Sus scrofa: one gene and its partners. The protein of the gene in region 2 interacts with the protein of the main gene of each other region in a pairwise test. Links are inferred from orthologs where the notes say so. Each region holds a gene or a part of one and is shown on either strand. Other genes may lie near its edges.

Region 1 (6,244 bases), on a different chromosome or scaffold from region 2:
AATAAGCGGAGCAAACATCATCTTACCATTATCTGTAGAATAAAATCAGCAACGTGTTGCTTCCTGCAGTCACCCAATCAAGATTTTTTTTTCTTCCTGTCTTTCTAGCAACGTCTTTTTCACCAGCAAGATTAGGAAGAAAATAAAGCTTTGAGTGTTTGCCTCAGTAGTTCAGATCACAAGACCGTGAAGCTAGCTCTTAGCCCAAAAAAAAAAAAAAAAAAAAAGAACAGGTCTGGTATTTTACAATCACTGCTGCAACCCAGAGGTACCTCCTGGTCTCCCCGTACCTCCTCTCCTCCTGGGTTCTACGTTTCTTTTAGTAATGAGACCAATTTTTCCAGAAGCCTTGAACTCCCTAGATTCAACTGACATGGAAAATGTGACTAAAAACTTGTAGAACTGTCTAGCCTCCAACCCTGCACAGAATCAACTTTGTTGTGAGTGTGGGAGAACACCTCGCAAGCAGCTACTTGCTCCTTTGGACTCCTGCAGGACACAGCACAGCACACCAAATAGCAGTGCGCCATCTAGTTAGCAAGCTGCACTCTCCCTTCTAGAAGGGGGGACACCTTCAAACCCTGGGAGTTAAGGACTTGTCAGGGTCCAGCTGCTTTAAAGGTCCAATTGTTTATTTAAATAAAAAAAAATATCGCTACTGAGATAATCCACATCAAGTGGATATGGGAAAATTTAGGTTATAATGGCACTACAAACTTTTACATCTAACTTTGATTTACAAGATAAAAGCAAGTTTTAAATTAAAAGGGCTTTCTGTTAATAGAGCTTATTATTCTGAAGACGGGGAATGATTTTCTTCGAAAGTTGTCCCTGGGTGCATGCCTATTATCTTTGCTTTCCCCCTTCCACTAATGAGCATTTATCTAAAGAGCCTGTTAATCCTCTGATGTGTGCTTCTGGTCAGAGGTAACAGTTTGAATAAAACCACTAATCACTGATCACTAAATCACTGATCATTAATCACACTCTCCAGTGCTGGTGACCCGGGCCATTTTTCCCTTTGGGTCTATGTATGCATCACAAACAAGAAGTTTAACATTTTAGATGCACATGTATTGTGTGGGGGTTATACTATTTCATCTCTAGATGTGAATAAATAATAAACACTGCCACAAACTTGGGGAAGGAGATGTCAATTAGACCCCAGACAGGAGTTTCACAAATGCCTACTCTACAGCACGGCTTTCACTTTGAAGAAAGCAGATTTGATTATAACAAGACACGCATGCTTCAAGAAATTCCCACATACTCAGAATATAAATTTTCCTTTATTTAACTTTCACCAACTCCAAATCAGAGAGCCCTGAAACTCTCTGCCCTCCTCCATCCAAAATCCTGTTAGGAAATCTTCTATTTGACTCCTGCTGCACCCCCGCACCCCCACCCCTCGGAGATCTTTTTACTTTTATCCCTTAAACGTGTCACAAACAGTATTTTTATTTCAACTGCCAGATACGGAGATTCTGGCTCGATTCAGTGACTTCCATACTTAACTTCCTCTTTAAATAAAGAAACTTAAGGTTAAGATTAAGAAAGTAACACACGCCCCAATTTATTGTATAGTATTCGGGTTCCAAGACTCACATTCCCTAACTTTGGAAATGAAACGTTTAATCTTGAGCCTTTCGGATAAATTTGATTTAGTCAGCACAACCTCGCCATCCCCCTCCGGCTAACTGCTGGAAGGAAAGAGGAAGGCGTTATGTAAAATTAAGTACTTTGTTTGCTGTGGGTGTGTTGTTTTCCTAAGTCAACACAGGGACGTGGTATTATCCACCGTAGCGTCTCTAAACATTTCCTGAGATGCCTTTTCTATCAGGACTAAGTTATTTTTGCCCTAGAGGAGAGGGCTCGCTAGCGCCTTTCTTAAATAATAGAAAAGGGCAGCTTGTGTGCCCGCAGATCAGGTACTGTGCCCCCCTCAGCCGCCAGAAGCTCTCACCACGCTCCAGGGACTGTGACCGCCCCAGGGAAAGCAGTAAAAGGCGGAGGCGGGGCCAGAGTGATAACGGTATGGGCGGGAGAGAGCGGGCGGAGAAGGAGGGGTCCAGAGGGAGAGGGTAATAAAGATGCCCAGGGAATCGGCGATTGTACGAGTATGGTGGGGGCTGGGGATGGAAAGCATAGTTGCTTTGTCAGCACTTCTAAGCCCCTAACCCTTGAGTATCTGAAGCTGTTAATCAAACACTTACGGCCTGCAGAATGACGTAATGGACCTGTCTCCAGCCTTTATTCCTTGACACATGTCAGAGAGGGAGGGAAAAATAAAAATCATACACTCTGCGGGCTCTGACAACGAAATACACAAGAGACCCACTTGAGTTCCCGGCCCTGTACCAGCCTCAAGTGGGGGCGGCACCCGTTCAAGGAAAGTTAGGGAGGAGTGGACAAGATCAAGATCGGGGGCTTCATCTACCAGATTAGCACCCCCCCCAATAAACCTATAGCAAAAGAAAAGCGAAATGCAGCCGACGGGGAAAAAACATCTCTTTGGTTGCTTCGTGCGTCTTGCCCCTCTAAGACCGTCGTGAAAAGTTTTAAGCGATTCCTTGAAGAATCTGCCTGGAGAAGAGGGCTTCGCCGCCGCCGTATCCTGGGAACTGCCACCGCGCCGCCGCGGCAAAAGCGGGAGCTGTCATTTGGGGCAGCAGCGGAGAAGAGGTAATGATGCCAACGAGAACCGGACGGAGGCAAGAGGTGGCTGGAGGAATGAAGGCGAGAAGAGCCTCGCCACTCTCCAGCCCTCCGCGCCCGGAGTGAAAGCAAAGTGCCCTCCAAGAGCGACGTCCCCTCCCAGGGCGCGCGCGCCCACCACCTGGGGCCGGCAGCCCTGCGGGAGAGGTGGCAGCAGCAGGCTCAGCACCGGGGAGGGAGCGAGCCCCCCGCGCGCCCGTCCATCCGCCCCCTAGGTGACCCGGCGTCCTCGCCGCGCCCGCTGGAAGTTTGCAAACTTTTTCCGGGGGTTCCGCCGCATCACCGGGAAGTTGGGGACGCGGGGGGCGGTTCCTGGCTCGCCGTCTCCGCTGCCGCCACCGCTGACGCCGCTTGACCGCACTTCTGGAGGGTTCCGCACCTTGCCAGGTCTCTGGAGGCAAACACACACCCCCGATTCATAACTGTTCCCCGTGTCAGGGAAACACACGCGCGCTCCCACACACGCACGCACGCCGGGGCTGACACGGCGCTCGCTCCACGTTAGCATCCCTCCAGTCGCACGGCGCGGCGGCCACCGAGACGCGCTCCGGGACGGACTCGGCGTGGGGTCTCTGGGGTAGCCTCAGGACACAGCCGAATTCCACGGTCCACCAGCATTGGGGGACGGACTTCCCTCTGGTCCGCCAGAGTGTTTACAAACACAGATCATCCTCCAAAAAAAAAAAAAAAATGCATCGCATCTTCCCCTACTTCTTGCCCTGTGACCTGCCCACTAGACCAAGTAACCTCGCGGCTGCTGCCGAGAACCAGCCCCTGCAAACAAGTACGTTCCCGAGATGGCTCCCGCGGCAAGTGCAACAAAAGTGGCTAAATGCAAAAGCCCCAGAAGTGGCCGAGCCGTATTTTTAGGAACTTACCAAACAAGTGTGGAGAAGGCAAGAGCGGAGCCCGGGTGAAGGGACCACGTTGGACTGAGCAAAGATTACAATACATTCTATTTAGAGTGCATTACATCACCCCCCCGGTGACGTCACGTGGGATTCCTGAACTTCTAAATCATTGCGGCCCGTGGGGGGGTGGGGGGAGGAGGGAGGGGCGGGGCCGGCGCGCCGAGGGGGCGGGCCCCGCCCGCGCACCGCCCCACCAGCCGACTCTGGTGCACCCGCGGGGGAGCGGCGGCGGCAGCGGCGACCGCGCGAGCAACAGCTTGCAGAGGCCAGCGCCGTGTGACACGGCTCCCTGACATTAGTGGTGTGAGTCAGCTTGGAAACAATCGTCACGGTTTCAGACGGGACCACGGAGGAGGCAGGGACCTGGGCTCTCCCGTGAGGAGGGCCTGGTGGCATTTGAAAGGTGTGGGGACGGGGAGTAGGGGAAGGGTGGGAATGGGGAGTAGAGGAAGGGTGGGGAGGGGGTGCAGACGAATGCGGGAAGAGACTTTCTACAAACAGAAATGAGGAACGCTCCCCCTTCCCCCACCAGCAGATGTCCAGCTCCTTTTTGCCTGCGACAGTCGTGACCTCATTACAGTGTTCCCTGCATCCTGGCTTCTCAGAGCATTCACTCGACACCCCTTTTCACGGCCCTCCCCCCCCCCCGCCGCGCCCCATTTCACCTCCAAAGGAATAACTTCTTTATTGTGCACACTCATTTGGAATGTGATGCCCCTGTCCTTCCCAAGACCCCTGCTTCATGAGTGTGAGAAGCTGGAAGGAGCGTTGTTCCTGCAGGCGAAAGGTGAATTACAGCTAGAGCCAAATGATGAGCCTGATTTAGACTCAGCGTCAGATCCGGAAGGGCCCTTGGCGCTCACTTCCAGAGCCTCCTCTGTTACTTGCCCAAGCTCATAAGCTGGCAAGTGGCAGAGCCAGAGCCGGAATGCAGGATTCGGGGCCCTGGTCTGCAGTACGTTCCTGACAGCTCAGTGAGAGAAGGAGCCTGGTGTTTTCAGCATCAGCCAGGTCACCATGGCCATCCCCAGCTTAATTTCCATTCGGATGTTCTCTCTGTGAGTCGGACTCAAAGGGAAGGCAGAGGCTAAATCCAGGAGATGCCAGACATCTCAGAGCACCACGGTCATCCTTGCAGCAGCTCACACTTTGCAAAGCACTGGAACCCACGTGGAACTCCCCTGATTCTCACAACAACCCAGCACAAGGAGAAGTAGGGCAGGTGTTATAATTATCCCCATTTTACAGGGAGCCAAGGCAAATTCCAGAAGCTTAGGGGGCTGGCCTGAAGCCACTGGATAACTCCCGCCCCTGTTTTAAAACTCCAAATCCTAACTGGACTCCTTTCTAGAACCAGGGCGGAGCTTTCCATTCTCATGGGTTATTGATGGTTAGAACCTTTGCTGAGGACGAGTTGGCTGGGAGTCCAAGCTTTGCTTAGGAACAGTTTAGCCCCCATTAACAAACAATAATCATTCCTGACATTTATGTAACATCTGACATTTATATAGCACCTCTCATCCCAATGCATCATAACCATGACTGTGCAGTTTGCCAGAGAATCATGACTGGACTGGCTAGAAACTGTCGTGCTTTGCCTGGATCGTCACATACTTCTGAGCTGGTTTTGCCATACTAAATGGAAGAGCTCTGTGTTTCCTTTCTATTTTTTAAGTGTTTAAACAACTCTCTTTCTTGGTGTTTCTTGAGACCACAGGGACTGCTGACTATTCCTTTCCCACAGCTTGATTCAGAACTCATCACTGCGTTTCCTATTTGTTCTCTTCCACGTGTAGCCCTGAAGGAATTGCAAAAGAAGGGCTCCAGTCCTAACTTGAATCTTAACTAATAAAACTTTTAAAATGACAGCTCAATTACCTGTGTTTACAGAAGAAAGCAACAGCCTCCTGAGGAACAGCCTCCTTGCCCACATTCCTACTCAATTAGCTGGACATCCTTTTCCACCTAAAGCAAGGATCTACCTCCTTCTCCCTTAAAGAAAAAGCGTGAACCAGACAAGGAGCAACCTTGAGACAGAAAAGGCAGACAGCCTAACTTATCAATGCTCAGTCAGAGAGCTCATCTCTTCTTCCGGCTGACAGGTGTGGACCAAAGGAATAGAATGGAGAATTGAATAAGCAAAACTGAGATGATGATCAAAAGAGTTTAAAACCTGTAATTAGTTAATCAACATATAAATTTAAAACATTTAATTCCCAATATTCTCTAAACAGAAGCATATATTTGAGTTTTAAAGCAAGTAGCTCATCAGTTTCTAATACTATCCAAATCAGTTGTCCATCCTTGAAAATTGTTGCTGATCTTTTGTTTGATGTGCTGTTACCAGGTAAACATCACCCTGTCTACACCACGGTTGACAAGAGAATACACATGGGACTCTTCCAATGACTTCCCCAAAAACTTGATAATCATTAGGTTACTTGGAGTCTCAATGGACAGATAATTTCTCCACATCAGCCATATTGTTTGTGGTGCTGACTCACCTCTTAGCTTCTGCTGAACTGACAGCAATTTCATTCACAATGTTTCTAGCCATTGCATTACAGTTTTCTGTATATTTCAGATCTCTGTTACCAAATAAATCACCCATACATACA
Region 2 (5,529 bases):
ACAAGGCGAATTCAATTTTTGCTTTTTGGAACTTTTTGGAATTTCTTTTTCAAATATTTTCCATCTGTGGTTGGTTGAATCCATAGGTGCAAAACCTGTAGACACACAGGGCCAACTGTGTTTTGTTTCACTCTGATTGTTTTTCTCTGTTTCACATCTTTGTTCCCATGCTTTTGCTAGCAAACTTCTCCAACTCTTTCTCCAACTTTTGTTTCTGTCTTCTCTTTCTCCATCTTTACTATTTTAAAAAATGCCTTAGATTGTCACTATTTTATTCAATTTCTAAAATCTACAGCTTCCCCAACAACACTTCCTAGTTACTGATACCTCAAACAAGAAGCACTACACTACAGGACAAGTCACCATAGGCTCTAAGAACTCTACAAGCTTTATTTTATTTTATTTATTTATTTTTTTAATTTTTATTATAGGATTCTTTTCTTTCTTTTTTTTTTTTTGGTCTTTTTTGCCATTTCTTGGGCTGCTCCCACAGCATATGGAGGTTCCCAGGCTAGGGGTCTAATCAGAGCTGTAGCTGCCAGCCTATGCCAGAGCCACAGAAACGCGGAATCTGAGCCACGTCTGCAACCTACACCACAGCTCACGGCAACGCTGGATTGTTAAGCTGCTGAGCAAGGGCAGGGATCGAACCCGCAACCTCATGGTTCCCAGTCGGATTCATTAACCACTGCGCCATGACGGGAACTCCTACAAGCTTTATTTTAAATAAGCATTAGTACATGCTAGCCACCATGTTATCCATGACCAGAACCACATTTAAATATCTCAACTTTCAGAGATGACATGTTAAATTAGATATACTTCTGACTTCAACTGGAGTTTTCTATTATCCTAAAACCACATTCTAGTTAATTGAAAGGCACTGATAAGTGAATCCTAAACTAACAAAACATTAGAGCTGGAAGGGTTTCAAGATGATTTAGGAAAACTCTCCATTTACCTGAGGCAGAAACTGGAAGACAGACAGTTAGACAACTTTTTAAATTACTGAACTAATTTAGTAGTAAAAAAATATCCAGAAACAAAGAAGCAAAATTAAAAGTAGGTTTATTCAAAATTTTTATGTATGAATTATTCAAAACTTAAAACACATTTTCAATAGAAATAATAATATAGATGCTGAATAAGCTCATATATCAGCCCACAAATACATAGCTAAAGGGAATTCTAGTTATTTTCAAGAATCTTGGAAATTTGGGGCACTTATTCTCATTTTGCTAAGTCATATGCTCTCCATTTGCTTGATTCAGGAATAAGACTAACATCACTCAGCTTTTCTGATAAGATTAGAGTTGTTTTTTGCTCACAAATGAAATAAAGGAGAAAGAGCTTCCCATATATAATTGATGGTAAATAGCTAAGATGATCAAAAGTCAGATTCAAATTTAAAATATATAGATGTGGAAAAAAAAAAAAAAAAACAACACTTGTCTGGGTGGAAGACAGCATAGTTAAAACCTAAGGTGGCCACCAGGTAGTTATATAATGAGTTTAGACTGATAAGTGATGAGGAGAAAGAACCTATGAACACAAAATTCTAGGGTAGGGGTCAGCAAAATGTTTCTGTAAGGGGCCAGATATTTAATCTCTGTTGCAACTACTCAACTTTGTCACTATATTGTGAAAGCAGCCATAGGTAAAATACAAACGAACAAGTGGGGCTATGTTCCAATAATATTTTATTTATAGACACTGAAATTTGAATTTCACATAATTTTCATCTTCATAAAGTTATTATTCTTTGATTTTTTTTCCCCAGTCATTTAAAAATTTAAGAACCATTTAACTCATGGGCTATGCAAAAACAACGACAGGTCTGGATTTAGCCTGTGAACTGTAGTGCCAACCTCTAGTCTAAGGAATACTGGGAGAAGGGGAGGAAGATGTGCCTGGTTTAATAACTGGGGCGGGGGGACGGACTATACATGAATGTTCTCACATAAAACCTAATTGGAAAAGCAGCTCCCTTCTAACACATACACGTTAATGTTAGTCCCACTTGCAAAGAAACAGACATATTTTGCTGTCTTTAACTTCTGTAGCTAAAAGAGCTAAAGAAACAATCACTGATTTTGAACAAAAATAATTTTCATAATAAAATCATAATTTTTTGTTTGCTTTTTAGGGCTGCACCTGTGGCACAGGGAAGTTCCCAGGCTAGGGGTCAAATCGGAGCTACACCTGCTGCCCTATGCCACAGCCACAGCACCACAGGATCTCAGCCACATCTTTGACCTACTGGCAACACCTGATCCTTAACTCACTTAGCAAGGCCAGGGATAGAATCCGCAAACTCATGGTTCCTAGTCAGACTCGTTTCCGCTGTGCCAGAACAGGAACTCCTCATAATTTTAAATAGATAATTCACTCTATAGAATTTTAAAATTACAGTCATATATGCATTATTCATTACCATTTTGTCCCTGAGTCGCTCTCCACGGATATAAAAGTCAGCACAGCCATTCTCTTCCTGGTGAGGGACTTTGAAGACAGTGACGCAGCTTAGTCCACTCCCTCCAAGTGGTAACCATCCACCACTTGAGTCATCCCGGGTCATCACCACAGCTCGCACTCGTGCATAACTATTACTAAAACAGATGCAAAGATTAGAAATTAGCTTCTCCATAAACAAAAACCAGCCAAGCTATCAGTCTTACTTGAAAAACCAAAGACCACATCAGTTAATATGTGGTAACTAAAGTGTGGACTACTTCTATGACAGTCCACAGGATACAACTTAATTGAAAAGGTAAAAAACCACAGAGTAACTAACTTAAAAGGTCAACTTTTATTTTGAAGACTAATCTCACAATAAAAATTTCTAATTTCAAGTCATCATTTGAATAGTTTGAGCACATCTGATTGCCATGAACAAGTAAGGAAGAATCCTAGAAACAAATGCAGTCAAACTGCACAGGTGACTATTAAAGTTGTCTAATATATGCCCACCTGCAATATAAGCAGGACAAATTACTGCTGTATTTTAGAACATTTAATTGTGACATCTCTATGTTTCTAACATTTCCGAAACATATTACAAATAAAATGCTGAAACAAACATGCTTAGGCCAGACATTTTTTGATTTTTCCTAACTAGGAATCTAAATCACACAAATCATATAAAAACAAATGTTTCATTTTAAAAACTTATCAAGCAAACTGATCTATAGAAAGTTTTCATGCTCCCTTTTTGGCAGACTATTCTTAAAAGACACTATATTCTAGTTCCATTCAGAATAACTTCCCAATATTAATCACAACTATTCTTTACATAAATCTGAGAAATATGTTTCATATAATAATGTTCTAGATAACTGACATCTAAACACTTCAGCTCTAAAACTTTTAGTATAATAATTATTAATGAAATCCTTTCTAAGCATTTTATACCTTGCTGACTTCTGAAAAATTACATTGAGTGTAACTTAAACTTGTCTTGGTTATTACAACTGTTAACTGAGGTACAATGTAACAATTCTGTGCTACTTAGTGTATCCACATGTTCTAAGTATTAGGTTGCCAGGTGTCATTTCTGTCCTCACAGTGCTGATATGAGATCTGCCCCTTGCTTTTTTTCTACTTTACATATTTATTTTATTGAGGTATATGCTACATACAATAATTCATATTGGTATATTGATATTAAGTATAAATTCAACAAATTCTGACAAATGTATACAACTGCACATCCAACATGATAATCAAGATATAGAGCATATTCATGACTCCAGAAAATTCTTTAAAGCCTCTTTCCCATCAATTTGGTAACCTAGGTAACCAATGCTATCCATGGTTTCTATCATATAGTTTTGCCTATTATAGACCTTCACATAAATAGAATCAAAGAGAATCACCACCACCCTTTTTGTCTGACTTCTTTCATTCATTGTTGTTTTATTAGTGTTTCGTTCTTTTTTACGGCTAAGTAGTCTTCCCACTGAGTAAATAAACCACAATTCATTTATTTCTTCTTGATGAATGGGCATTTGAAATGTTCCTACTTATTGGCTATGGTGAATAAAACTGTTATGAACATTCTTGTATAAGTCTTTTTGTAGATACATGTTTTCATTTCTGTTGATAATTACCTAAGGATGGAATTGATGAATCACAGGGTACCATGTTTAACTACATAATAAATTAACAAACTATTTCCCAAGGTGCAAATGGCCCATTATACATTCCCATCAACATGTATGATAGTTTCATTTGCTCCGCATTTGCACCAACATTTTTTTTTTCTTTTTATGGCAACATCTGATGGAATATGGAAGTTCCCAGGTCAGGGGTCAAAACAGAGCTGCAGCTGCAGCCTACACCACAGCCATGACAACACTGGATCCGAGCCACATCTGTGACCTACACTGTAGCTTACAGCAACGCCAGATCCTTAACTCACTGAGCAAGGTCAGAAACCAAGTTCATATCCTCACAGGGACTATGTCAGGTCCTTAACCCACTGAGCCACAACAAGAACTCCACCATTTGGTGTTGTGTTTTTTAAATTTTATTCATGGTAGTTAAGTATAAATTGGTAACCCACTGTGATTTTAATATTCATTTCTCATGATGGATGCATGATATTATGCATTTTTATATGTTGACTGGCCACTATATGACTTTTTATGTTTTTATTATGCTGTACTTTATTACGATTTTTAGAAGTTCTTCATATATTCTCAACACAAATCTTTTGTCAGAGAGCTGTATACTTTTAAAGCTCTCTGACATTGTGTTATGGTTGAGTAAGGAATCTAAAGTCAAACTTCCTTAAGTTGGATCTTAGCAACTTACCTATGTGTTTTTGAGAAAGTTACAGAACCTACCTCTAATAAATGAAAACAATGTCTGACACATAATAAACAATATATATATTTTATTATAAGTTAATTATTATTACAACAAAGAATTTAAAATTGAAGTAGTTGTCATAATATTAATTCAAAGCCAGGGAAAAAATAGAATTTATAAGGTCAAACATAATTCTCTATTACTAGGGTCAAAATAACTCTTTATATAGAACTTTTCAAAGTTTTTAATTCACAAAAGACTATTCTGTCTCAGCTTTTTATTATTTATTTGGAGCTTCTGTTTCTTGTCTGGGCCTATAAAGACAGGGCTGAGGTTGATGTCAAATTAGAATCCTCCTCCTGGGATGGGCTAGAACAAACCCCTCTACTAGAAATAAACATGGCATGCATCCCAAGCCCCAGAGAAGCTTATTACAGTGGGAACGAGCTTGGAGACCCACAAGTAAAAGTAAACGAAGGTTATTTGATTTATCAAGATTTTAAGGCCAAGGATATCCCAGAAGCATAGCATATAACTTAGACATATTAGGTTTGGATTAAGTATTTGTGAACTGAACTTCTGCATGTAAAGCTCAACATATCTGAAGTTCAGTGAAGTTACAAAGTCACAAGGGTCAAAACCAAAATTCAAGTTTCCAATAATCATTTAATTATAAATACTTAATTTATAATTTAATTATAATTTAATTGTAAATAT
Region 3 (6,133 bases), on a different chromosome or scaffold from region 2:
TCTGCAGCCTACACCAAAGCTCACGGCAACGCCGGATCCTTAACCCACTAAGCAAGGGCAGGGAACGAACCTGCAACCTCATGGCTCCTGGTCGGATTCATTGACCACTGAGCCACGATGGGAACTCCGAGTTGTTAGGTTTTTTTTTTTAATATCCACCCCTGGCAGTGGTCATCTCTGGGATGATGCAGACTTGGCAGAGTGTCTGGCACAGAGCAAAGCAACTCAATCAATGTCAACTGCTATAGCTTTAAACACTGAACCTAAAGGGCAGAGGCAGGATCAAGATCAGAGCCTCATAAGCTGGTAAAGATGGGTTATGACTGGCAGATCAGGAACAATTAGAGGGCATGTGATGATTCATGGGCAAGGCTGTGTGGGTGGGCTGGCCGGGTTTAAAGAGCCAGAGCAAGACCAATCTATTCTGCTGGGCTTTGCCTTTCTAATGCCTTGGGCGATCCAAGGAGAATATTCTAATCCGAGGTCCCTTGGGTTGAGGACTTGAAGGCCTTAAAGAGAGGTGGTATTTTGTGCTGGCTACAAGTGTAGGTGCTGGAGCCAGAATGCTTGGGTTCAAATCCCAGCTCAGTGGCTTTACTAGCTTTGTGAACATGCCCTGGTCATGTAACAGTTCTGTGCCTCAATGTCTCATCTGTTAAATGGGAGTGATAAAAGTACCTGCCTCAGAAAAATCTTATGAGGAACAAAGTAGGTAATACATATAAAGTGTTAGAATAGCATTTGGCACAAAGTAAGGTCTCTATGTGTTAGTTATTATCAAGGAGGTCACAAATGTAGTGGAGCAGTCTAATTCGTGCCCACACAGGTCCGTCCACTTTTTTCTTCCCCTCCTAGTTGAAATTCTCCTCCTCCCCTAGGCCTCCTGTACCAGCTCCCACATTTTACAGACTGGGAAGCACAGAGTGAGAAGGATGTTGCCCATGGTCTTATGTGGGGTCATTGGCAAAGACGGGACTCCATTTTCAAATTCTAGAGACCACTTCCAGCATCTTATGCTGCCACTTCCACTTCCTCATGCTTTGGATTATGATATCAGTGAGCAGGGATGGGTCCCCAGGGCTAGAGGCTCAGGACGTGACGGAGTCAGGGCTTTCAAACACCTGTCCCTTGTCAGTCACCAAAGGGGACAGGGACGTGCCTACTTACTGGTGCCCCAGGTATGCTCTCATCCCACTAGGACGCCTGCAGCTAGGAGGAAGGGACAGCAAAACAGGTTCAAGAGGGACTGGGATGGTGCCTAAAGAAAAAGAGAGAACACCACTGACTTCTCCCCAGCGAGCCTGGCCATGAAGTTTCTGGGATCAGCCGAGAAACCAAGCCTTCGCTCTTGACCAGCTGGCCCCGCCCACCGCAAAAATTGCTTTCTTGGGCAGAAGTCCCGCCTCTCCCCCTCCCACCTCATGGCTCTTTAGCATCCCAGCTCTGATTGGACTAATCCCCAGACTCCCCGCCCTACTTTTGACAGATGCTTAGCAGTCCCTCCCCTGCACGTGGCCCAGCCAGAGGCTGGCTGCTCCCCTTCCCTACTCGCCCCCCCCACCTCCCCCAGCTTGGAGTAAAAAGGTTCCCTCTCGTCGCCTTGGGTCGGGAGCTCTCAGCTTCCATTGCAGCTGGGGCGGCAGGACAGGGCTTTGGGGAGACCCCCAAGTGCGGGAGGAGGTGTTCCCAGGGCCCTGAAACCTTCCAGACCTGCTCAGTGTAAACCGCCTCGGGCTTGTGTCAACATCCGAAGCCAGAGACTGGCGGCGGCTGGGGACAGACTTCGTCTAAGGAGACCGGAGGGTGGGGAATGGAGGGGTCCATAGGGTAGGCAGAGAGATCCCAGGAGGCTTCCTGAGACTGAGAAATAAGGAAAGTCTGTCTGGGGAGGGATCGGAATTAGAGGCTGTAAGGGGCCCAGGACTAGCGTGGGGCTAAGTGGAGCCTGGGTACTTCGCCATCCCCGTCCACTTGCCTGCTCTCAGTTCCTTGGCGAGAGGGGTGGTTGGGTTGGAAGGGGGATGAGAAGGCGTGGGCTGCTGACTACCGCATCTTTTTCCTCCCCACTCAGTTCCTCCTCACCCTCCTCTGATTTGGGGTGAGATACAGGAGGGGGTCACATCTTGTGACTCATCCCCTTTTCTGTCCCCACCCCCGCTGGGGCCCAAGAAGGAAAGGCTTAGAGACTCGGCTGTGGCTCTCTCGTTTCCATAGCAACCGTGCGGTTGTTTTCGCGGATCCATATCAATCGTGGACACTTTTAACCCCTGAGGCCCGGGTCTGAGCCTCGGGGAGGGAGACAGATGGGGGTACAGCCCTCCCTCTTCCTCGCGACTCTGGGAAGGTCAGGGAGGGCAGGCGGGGCGCGTTCTTGTAGCCCAGCCTCACTGGCCACTTGGTCCCCACCTGAAACCCCGCCTGCCACTCCGCCTCAGCCGAGCCAATCAACGCCTAATCTGCCCAGAATGAGGCGGGGCTTATGCAAATCGTGTCGCCTCCGACAGACACATAGTGATACAAGAGCTGGGAGGCGGCTCCGGCGCGGACCTTGGAGAACCTGGCGGCCGGCCCGCGAGCCAGTCTCGGTCCCCACGGCCCGCCGAGGCTCAGAGTCATCCAGCGACCCGGCGCTCGGCCTCAGGTAACGCGGGCAGGGCCGGGAGGAGGCCCTTGTCCCCTCCCCCTCCACTCTCCATTCCCATCCTCGTCTTCTGCCCCACTCTGATCCATCTCCCTGACCCCTGGTTCCACCATAGGAGGCAGTATATGGAGAGCCCGCCCCTGGCCAGAGGATTCCTCCCCACCCCTCCAGTCCATTCCAGACCCTACAGGTCCCAGGGAAGGAGGCAGAAGCGTGTCCTTACTCTCAGAGCAACCACTGCTCTCGCGCCCAACACACACACACCACACACACACACACACACACACACCTGGGGTCGCAGTGTTGCTGGTGCCAACGAAGGAACCCATCACTCTCCCTCCTTTGGAAATGGGAGATTGCCCCAGCCCCATGGCAACCACCCACCTCCACAGGTAGCCCTCACCGCACACCATCCAACCCCACCAAGAGGTCACTGCACTTCACACCACAATGTCGCTGGCCCCCAAGACAGCCTCCGCCTCCACAGAGAGCCCACTCCCACTTCACGTTGTCGCCTCAGACTGTCCGCACCTCCAGCTCTCAAGCTGACAGAGCTCATAGCATACTTGTGGGAGGGAGGAGGCTCCCACATCCAGTTCTCTTCCTTGAGACACTCTCTCAACAGCCCCCCTGCCCAGGGTCTCAGTGTGAGGCGCAGGCCTCTTTTGCCTGGTGGGAGGATGAACCAGGGACAACACCCCCAACAGACCGTCAAGGTCCCACCCAGCCTCCTCCATTCCCCCAGCTCTCAGCCCTCACGGCCAAAGCACCAAGTCTTCTCATTCCACCTCTCAAATATCTAATTCATACCCTTCCTGGACTTCTGGCATCCAGCCGCTCCCTCTCTCCTATCTTCCTGTGGCTCCACAGGGACCATGACAAAGCTCCAGGTGTGCCTTGCCTAAGGCAGCCTGAACCTGGAGGGCAGAAGAGCCAGGCTCAGATCTTGCCTTTGCCTCAGTGGCTGTTTGACTTAGGCCAAGTCACTTCCTTCTCTGATCTTCCACCAAATGGGGAATTCAGGGGTGGGGTTGGTGTGGGCAAGCCAGAGTGTGGAGTTGATGAGATGATCTTGGACAGCTTTCCAGCACTGACATACTCTGGTTCTGTGGCTGATTATGAGAAAACAGGGCCCTCTCCCTCTTTCCCTGAACCTTTAGGACATTTGAGAGAGGAAGCCTCAGGGACTTTAGTCCTCACTGAAAGGACATTGCTTCTTTCCCAGACCTGAGTATGGACCACCCCCTCCCACACACTTTCCAGACCCAGGCTTCTTCTCAGCTTTTAGGAGTCCCTCCTAGGTCATCAGCCCGCATGACATGGGCAGGTTCAGGGTAGAGGAATTCAACAGGACCTACCCTTTTTTTGTCATCCCCTGTTTCTCAATAATAAGGAGAAGGAGAAGACCTGACTGTTGCTGCTATGGCCGCTGCTTGGAGAAGAGCAAAGGAAGGAGAGGAAAGAGAAAAATCTCCTGACCAGGGAGCTGTTGTCACCATAGCAACAGTCTCAGCACCAGCTCCTCTGAAGCTGGGTGAGGGTGTGGGATTATTGCCTCCCTCAGTCCCTCCCACCCTTCCTGCCACCTCTCCCTCTGGAGCCCACACTCCTGGGCCCTGCCCTCTGAAAGTAGCTTCTGAGCCCAGAGGGACAGCGGCTTTGTGTATGGGGCAGTGCCAGCTCCTTCAAGGCTGGAGGGCAGCCCTCAAGAGGAGCCTGCCCATCTTCAGCATGGCCGCAGCTGCAACAGGACATGCCCCCAGTGGGTTCTGGCCTTCACCTTTCTGCTGACGGGCTCTACTTGACCTTGGGTGAACTCTTCCTTTCCCCATTGTCTCTAAGGTGCCATGGCAGGAGAACACAGATAAACAAACCAGCCAGCCATCATCTCAAGGAGAAAAAAGGGGGTTCTGCCTCTCCCATATAATCCATGCAGGGACATTCATTAAACATGTCTGTGTTCCAGACATGGCCTTTAGGTCTCTGCAGGGCAGTTCTGTACTGTCACAGAGGGCAGAATGGAAACCTGCGTGGGGCAGCTACAAGAGGGCACGATAGGAACAGTGGGAGAAACACTTTTCTCACTGGCCCAGCTGCTCCCAAGAAGGCTGGGTTACATCAAGTAGGGATAAACTCTTTGCCATGGAGCAAAAGGTCTAGAGAACTTTTCCTGGCTCAGGCAAGAATTTAATGCAAAGGTCTCCCCCAAATCAGGCTCTATTCCCGAATTCTAGAGCGCCAGGTGAGGGTCAGAGGACTCTGGAGTCTATGCACCTGTGGGCTCAACTCCATGCCCAGAATGCCAAGTCCATGCTGCTGACTGTCTACTCTCCAGGCTGGGGGAGGCTGATCATAAGGCAGTGGGCTTCAGTCAGGCCCAAAGGCTGATTATAGCTGCATCAGCCCAGAAGGGCAGAAAGGCTATTAGGGAAGATGAAAACAGCCAAGCAATAGTTGAAATAGGTTCTGGCTTGAAAGTACGTAGTTGAGAGGGGAGCAGTGGGAGGTGAGGCTAGACAGGTAGACACCTTGACATCAGATTCTAGAGGACTCTGGAGTTTGAGGGGGCTCATGGGCAAGGCCACCATCTATCTCTAGTTTATATTGTACTTTTGGGCAATAACAGAAAAAACATTCTCTTGGGACAGAGGAATCAGAAAGAAAGGCACTCCCTCCAAGGCAGTTGAGCTCAGGGGCATGGCTTGGCAAAGCAGTGCCCCAACTGGCTTTCAGCCCCCTCCACTGTGCCCCTGGCCCTGGCTATGACAGAGGACAGAGTGAAGGTTTCGGGAGTACTTCAAAAGGAAGAATACTAGGACTTATAGCAAGTTGGACTTAGAGATAAGGGAGAAATTAAAGGTAACTAGGAAAGAAGGAAGGGCCATGGAAAGAGAAGGATCATCACAGGTTGAGGGCGAGTCTGGTCGTGGATGTGCTGAATCAGAGGTGCTGGTGGGCCACCCCAAGGGATAGATATTTCCTGGGTATCAGATACCATGACCTAGAGCCAACAAGATGGTCCTATTAAGGCCAAGAGGAAGATCAGAGCTATGGCTTCCTTGGAGGGTGGGTGGAAGTCTTTGCTGGACAAGAGTAGCCATGACTTGGAGTGGGTAGTCCAGACAGGTGATATGGATTCAGCCTGGTTTCTCATCCCCTTCCACTAGCTTACTGTGTAAGTCTGAGCCAGCTTTCTCTTTTCTCTGAGTTCCAACTTTCACTAAAATACAGGGATGATCTTAAAAAGGGCATCTCCAGCTTTGGCTGGCAGTGCCCTTTAAGATCTAAGAGCAGTAGAAGGAATGAGGCGAAATGAAGGAGGAGGCTTAGTCTTGCTGGGCGTGGGGTCAAATAGGGGCTGAGAACACGTATGGCCCCAGGAGACAGAAAGTGGTTTGAAGGCAGAACGGGACAGGGAAGAGAAAAGGGGCAAAAGATGAGAGCCATACAGACACCATCACACACACACACACCCACACACACACTCCACGC

What was found. The genes of interacting proteins can lie anywhere in the genome.
Region 1: the proteins of SPRED1 (region 2) and CREB5 interact in binary tests that used the Homo sapiens proteins (3 or more experiments, as listed by UniProt). The link is inferred for Sus scrofa from reciprocal best matches to the Homo sapiens genes SPRED1 and CREB5.
Region 3: the proteins of SPRED1 (region 2) and HPCAL4 interact in binary tests that used the Homo sapiens proteins (3 or more experiments, as listed by UniProt). The link is inferred for Sus scrofa from reciprocal best matches to the Homo sapiens genes SPRED1 and HPCAL4.

The regions. Positions count from the first base shown.
Region 1 is NC_010460.4:44,260,804-44,267,047, forward strand, and holds the start of CREB5 (cyclic AMP-responsive element-binding protein 5), read right to left. Parts: upstream 3,674-6,244; 5' UTR 3,594-3,673; intron 3,588-3,593; exon of another isoform or gene 3,107-3,587; 5' UTR 30-3,106; coding exon 27-29; intron 1-26. UniProt on the Homo sapiens protein: Binds to the cAMP response element and activates transcription.
Region 2 is NC_010443.5:132,960,423-132,965,951, forward strand, and holds part of SPRED1 (sprouty-related, EVH1 domain-containing protein 1), read right to left. Parts: intron 2,610-5,529; coding exon 2,435-2,609; intron 1-2,434. UniProt on the Homo sapiens protein: Tyrosine kinase substrate that inhibits growth-factor-mediated activation of MAP kinase. Negatively regulates hematopoiesis of bone marrow.
Region 3 is NC_010448.4:95,512,220-95,518,352, reverse strand, and holds the start of HPCAL4 (hippocalcin-like protein 4), read left to right. Parts: upstream 1-2,460; 5' UTR 2,461-2,641; intron 2,642-6,133. UniProt on the Homo sapiens protein: May be involved in the calcium-dependent regulation of rhodopsin phosphorylation.